Linked DNA regions of Callithrix jacchus. The protein of the gene in region 1 interacts with the protein of each later gene in a biochemical or structural test. Links are inferred from orthologs where the notes say so. Each region holds a gene or a part of one and is shown on either strand. Other genes may lie near its edges.

Region 1 (2,727 bases):
AGCACTTTGGGAGGCCAAGGTGGTTGGATCACCTGAGGTCAGGAGTTTGAGACCAGTCTGGCCAACATGGTGAAACCACATCTCTACCAAAAACACAAAAAGTTAGCTGAGTGTGGTGGTGGGTGCATGTAATCCCAGCTACTCAGGAGGCTGAGACAGGAGAATCACTTGAACCCAGGAGGTGGAGGTTGCAGTGAGTCGAGATCGTGCCATTGTACTCCAGCCTGGGTGACAGAGTGACACTCTGACTCAAAAAAAAAAAAAAAAAATACAAAAATTAGCTGGGTGTGGTGGTGCACACCTGTAATCCCACCTGCTTGGGAGGCTGAGGCACAAGAGTGGCTGGAACCTGGGAGGTGCAGGTTGTAGTGAGCCGAGATCGTGCCACTGCACTCCAGCCTGGGCAACAGAGCAAGACTGTCTCAAAAAAAAAAAAAAAAAAAAAAGGTGCCAGAATGAGTGATTGGTGATACGAAGAGAGGAGATCTGAGCGTACTAGACTGGGTGATGGAAGATAGTGTCCTGGTCAGGTGGGCTGTGCAGCTTTCAGAGATGAGTGAGGCTGAGGCAGGAGTCTGGTTAATTGGGGAGTACTGCAGACTGCCCAGAGATATTCATATTTAGAAATACCAAACACTGAGGGCCAGACAACACAACTTGCAGTGTCTGGTATGTGTCTGTTGGACTCTGAAAACTGAATGTCCTCATCTCTGAATTTAGGGTGGGAATTGGATGGCATATGGAGCAAGAGGGCATTGTGGATTGGCAGACTAGTGTAAAATAAACAAAGGCCTGCAGGTGGAAATGAGCCCTTCCTGTGGGGATAGTGATCAGAGAGGCAGAGAACTCCTTTTGGTGAGCCAGGAGAGTTAACACTGGCCGGGAATGATGGGGCCAAAAAGTGGCGTTCGAAACATGGTAAGGCTGGGAGGGTGGAGAGGGAAGACTTCCTGTCACCTCCTCTTTTTCCTCATTCTCACAGCTGGCTGAGAGTGACTTTGCCTCCACCTTCCGGCTGCTCACAGTGTTTGCTTATGGGACGTACGCTGACTACTTAGGTAACCAGAGGGGTTGGTGCTCTGGAGTAATGGAAATAGAAGGGCAATTTCTGGAGGGACTTGGAAGAAATTCCTGGGATATCCCACTTAGATCCCACCTCGGGGTGCAGAGGATCAGGGTCAAGCCTGAATTGGCCTGGAAAGTGGGAGGGGAGGGAGCAAGGGAAGGAGGCTAGGGCTTCCCACAAAACTGCAATCAGGATTCCGTATACTTTGTCATTTTTCCCTAGCTGAAGCCCGGAATCTTCCCCCGCTAACAGAGGCACAGAAGAATAAGCTTCGACACCTATCAGTTGTCACCCTGGCTGCTAAAGTAAAGGTGAGTGGCAGTCCCCCAGTCTAGAGCATCCTTTTGTATGTCCCTGGGAGTCTGCACTAGGACAGCTCTTGTGTGAACTGTGGCTATTTCCTGCCCTCCCCTCCTCCAACGTCTGTATATAAACTCCATTAGCAACTGTTTAGGCTGAATATTGTCCATAGTTTTCTGTCTTTTTATTTTTCAATCAACTTAAGTTCTAAATAAACATCTCTTGTGTTTTTGGTCAGAATGGCATGTTGTTCAGCAATACCATCCTCCCCACTTCATCAAGCCCTGTATAGACACAGCCTCCAGGCTGGAAACCGGGCTCTCTCCTGAGATGTGCTAGGCTTCTCTTTGTTAGAATAAGAAATATATATCCCGGAAGCATCTCTCTATTCCTGTTAGGCTGGTTTTTGTCCAGTATCGCCACCCACCTCCCCCACCTGCCCAGTCTGCGGCCTCGCAATTGTTGCTTGACTCTCAGTTGTCCTCAGGATTTAATTTAAACCAGGCTCTCTATTGAGAGATGCCTCCAAAGGATTGCCTCTGGCAAGTAGGCAGAGTATAAATGATAAACAGTAACTCCAGACCTCTCTCACTACTGCTTCCTCCCCTATGTCCAGCTGTTCTTGACTAAGGACTGGGTGACACCCTGAGCTTTGGCCAAAGGAGTGACACCTAGGCAGGTGTCATTTTTCTCCCTCTGTGGTGTGGGAGGGGTAAGGGTGGAAGGGGAGCATTTTGTATTTGATTTAAGAATGTCCTTCTAATGATCCTGTTTTTGAAGTGGGAATACTTTTATTTTGCTTCAGAACCAGGCTCTTAGAGGAAGTGATTTAGGAATGGGAGTGGAGGGCAGGTGGGCTGGGGGAGGGGGAAAAGGAGGGAAGATTCTTGGAAGCCCTTTCCTGCTGCGGAGCCTCACAAATCCTGGCTTGATCTCCGCGGCCCCAGTGTATCCCATATGCAGTGTTGCTGGAGGCTCTTGCCCTGCGTAACGTGCGGCAGCTGGAAGACCTTGTGATTGAGGCTGTGTATGCTGATGTGCTTCGTGGCTCCCTGGACCAGCGCAACCAGCGGCTGGAGGTTGACTACAGCATTGGGCGGGACATCCAGCGCCAGGACCTCAGTGCCATTGCCCGAACCCTGCAGGAGTGGTGAGAACCATATCCTGGTGCTGTCCCCTTCCTTCTCACTCTGAGAAAGTGAAAGGTGCTTCAGGGTGAGAGAGGGCAAGAGCTGGGCTGGTCTGCAGAGGTAGAACTGAGGGGGATGAAGGAAAATGAGTTCAAAGGCTTCTGGGGAATGCAGGAGTAGGGAGGTCCTGGGAGGCGGCAGAAGTCAGTGTCCTTGATATAGTAATTCAGG
Region 2 (3,521 bases), on another chromosome or scaffold:
TCTCTACTTCACCTGTGATGGAGGGATTCTTTTTTTGATCTTCATTAATATTTGCAATAGTGAGGCAGACACTGCTTCAGACATCTTGCCTTTTTTGCATTATTTATGAAATTACTAGGTAATGATGCTCTTTGAAAAAGCAGCCAGTTCGTTAAAAAAAAAAAGCCTTCATATATAGATGTTGAATTTAGCATTTCAAGGTCCCCTTAATAATTTCGTAGTTTGAAGGATTTTCTTGATTGCTTTGATCTTATATTTTCTCCCTAGCACAGGACAATTGATTTATTTTCAGTGGTAGTTGAAATAAATATGAAATTAGATACTGTTTTTTTCAGTGGTCATAATTATCATTTTAATAGTACTCTAGCTTATCTGTGAGGAAACCAAAGAGATAAAAATGTCATTGGTTTTCTAAACAAGTTAAAGTGACTAAATGTAGACTTTGAATAAATGGGAACATCTTCTTTCAAAAAATGATTCATTCTGATTATGAAAGTAATTGACATAACAGTTACATGGCAAAAAGTTGGAAAATTCGAGTATAGTGCTATACATAGCAATTAATGTAAATTTGAATTGTGAATGGAAAAAAGTACAGAATATTAATATATGCAAAACAAAGTTGCATGAATTTCTCCTCCCATTCCCTTCCCTCCCACATCAATAAAGTATAGAATTATTTTCAAAGCTGGGGCCAAGTGAATTATAAACTGTGTTCTTGCCACATGGTGGCACCACTTTTACAGGTAAATAGAATTTTTCTATTAGGATTAATCTTGAATTATATGAGTTTTGAATTATGTGAGATCTTCAGTTATGTATTTCTGGCATAAAATGTGACCACGGAGATGAAGGGGAAAATGAAAACCACTTATTATCTCAGTACCCACAGATAATTGCTGTTACTATTTTGATATATGTATATAGAAATATATTTTGATAGTTTTTTACGTACTGTTGTATCTAGTTTTTTTTTTTACTTAGCAAAAATACATGATGACTGTTATCACATAATAATGGTTATAATTATACAGCGTTCTACCATTTTTATGTACAACTTGATTACCAATAATGTCATAATGGGTGATTTCCATTTTTTTCCTAGCATAGGTATTTATAAATAACTTTACAAATGAATATCATTTTAGGTGCGTATGTGTGGACATCCCTGGCTATCTTTTTAGGTTTTCTTTTCTTGATTTTTTTTTTTTTTTTTTTTAGAGACGAAGTCTTGCTGTGTCCCCCAGGCTGGAGTGCAATGGGACGATATTGGCTCACTGCAACCTCCGCCTCCTGGGTTCAAGGGATTCTCCTGTTTCAGCCTCCTGAGTAGCTGGGATTACAAGTGTGCGCCATCACTTCTGGCTAATTTTTCGTATTTTTAGTAGAGATGGGGTTTCACTATGTTGTTCAGGCTGGTCTCAGACTCCTGACCTCAGGTGATCCATCTACCGAGGTCTCCCAAATTGCTGGGATTATGGGCATGAGCCACCATGCCTGGCCTTAGGATTTATTTTCTAAAGATAAATGTATAATGGGTTAAGGGTATATTCGTTTTAAAGGATTCAACAGATAGTTGGAGAGCATATTTCCAAATTGTTTTCTAGGAAAGTTGTCTCACTAGTTATATATGATATACCCCTAAACTGGGAAGTTGTTCTTGTAAGAGCTTTAGCTGGTAAGATTATCTGAGGATTAAAAGCAGCTAAGATATAATGGGATCAATGATGATAAAAATTCAATAAAACTTACTTTTTAGTTTTTGTATAATGCAGTAAAAAGTTTGATTCCCTTATGGTACCAGAATATATATGAGGCAAAAGCAGCATATCTTCTATTATTCCTAAAATTTTCTTGACAAAATGTTGACTCATTATGTGTTTTTATGTTACATCCTAGACAGTACAATGTAGATTATAAACTGGAGACTTACTTGAAGATTGCTAGGCTATATCTGGAGGATGATGATCCAGTCCAGGCGGAGGCTTACATAAATCGGGCATCGTTGCTTCAGAATGAATCAACCAATGAACAGTTACAGATACATTATAAGGTAACAGCTGAGTTGATTTGGAATTAATTTTGTATTGGAGAAATTGTGACATACTAAGATGTTCCAGAACATCTGATAGATGCTCTTAAATATTAGAAATTCTTTTTCTGTTTTTTTTTACTCTCACTTTTTAATTTTTCCCCCTAATTGAAACATTTTCCCTCTGTAGGTATGCTATGCACGTGTTCTTGATTATAGAAGAAAATTCATTGAAGCTGCACAAAGGTACAATGAGCTCTCTTACAAGACAATAGTCCATGAAAGTGAAAGACTAGAGGCCTTAAAACATGCTTTGCACTGTACCATCTTAGCATCAGCAGGTAAACACGTAGTAATTTATGCTTAAATGAACAGTTACCTTTGCTTGATAACTTGAGGTTGGTTACTATTGGGAAATTTAGCAAGGAACTATTCTTCAAAGGGATGTCTTAATACAATTATGGTAAATGTAGTTTAAGTGTTTAAATAAAAACGAATAAAATGGTTTGTTAAAATAATTTAATATGCTCATATTAGTCTATTATGCATATGTGTTAAGAATAGTTAAAGGAGATAATGTAAAGTTTAGTTCTAAAATTTTACTAAAGAAATGGATATTGGCTGGGCATGGTGGGTCACGCCTGTTATCCTGGCACTTTGGGAGGTCTAGGCAGGTGGATTACGTGAGGTCAGGAGTTTAAGATCAGCCTGAGCAGCATGGTGAAACCCTGTCTCTTATAAAAATTAAAAAAAAAAGAAAGAAATGGATATCAAATTAAGTGAGAATTACGCAGAGTGAAACAAAAATTAAAGTCTATAGCTTGATGAAATGATAATTAATGTACTGCTTTTGGAATTTTTTTTAACTTTCAAGCCTCAGCTTTAAATCTGGTATTCATCCTTTTCTCCAATACATGTAACAAATAAATATTCTTTGTTCTTTTTACTAAATTATAGCATGTAAATCACTTATGAAGTAGAAAGGGCATTAAGAGGAAATGCTAATTCTAAACCATAGCTTTTCTTGCCCTTTTTTTTTTGAGAAGGAGTCTCACTCTGTCGCCCAGGCTGGAGTGCAGTGGCGCCGTCTCAGCTCACTGCAACCTCCGCTGCCAGGGTTCAAGGGATTCTCCTGCTTCAGCCTCCTGAACAGCTGGGACTACAGGTGCCTGCCGCAATACCCAGCTAATTTTTGTATTTTTAGTAGAGATGGGGTTTCATCACCATGTTGACCAGGTTGGTCTCGAACTCCTGACCTCATGATCCCCCTGCCTTGGCCTCCCAAAGTGCTGGGATTACAGGTGTGCGCAGCTGCCATGCATGGCCTACCCATAGCTTTTCTTATATCACTCTATCACCCAGGCTGGAGTGCAGTTGCACAATCACTGCTCATTATAACCTCAACCTCCGGGACTTGAGTGATCCTCCCGTCTCAGCCTCCCAAGTAGCTGGGACTATAGGCACACACCACCATGCCCAGCTAATGTTT

The links. The genes of interacting proteins can lie anywhere in the genome.
Region 2: the proteins of COPS7A (region 1) and COPS4 form a complex in vitro, tested with the Homo sapiens proteins (2 studies listed by BioGRID). The link is inferred for Callithrix jacchus from reciprocal best matches to the Homo sapiens genes COPS7A and COPS4.

Annotation. Positions count from the first base shown.
Region 1 is NC_133510.1:20,919,877-20,922,603, forward strand, and holds part of COPS7A (COP9 signalosome complex subunit 7a), read left to right. Parts: intron 1-982; coding exon 983-1,058; intron 1,059-1,288; coding exon 1,289-1,377; intron 1,378-2,313; coding exon 2,314-2,516; intron 2,517-2,727.
Region 2 is NC_133504.1:114,734,722-114,738,242, reverse strand, and holds part of COPS4 (COP9 signalosome complex subunit 4), read left to right. Parts: intron 1-1,899; coding exon 1,900-2,053; intron 2,054-2,222; coding exon 2,223-2,373; intron 2,374-3,521. UniProt on the Homo sapiens protein: Component of the COP9 signalosome complex (CSN), a complex involved in various cellular and developmental processes.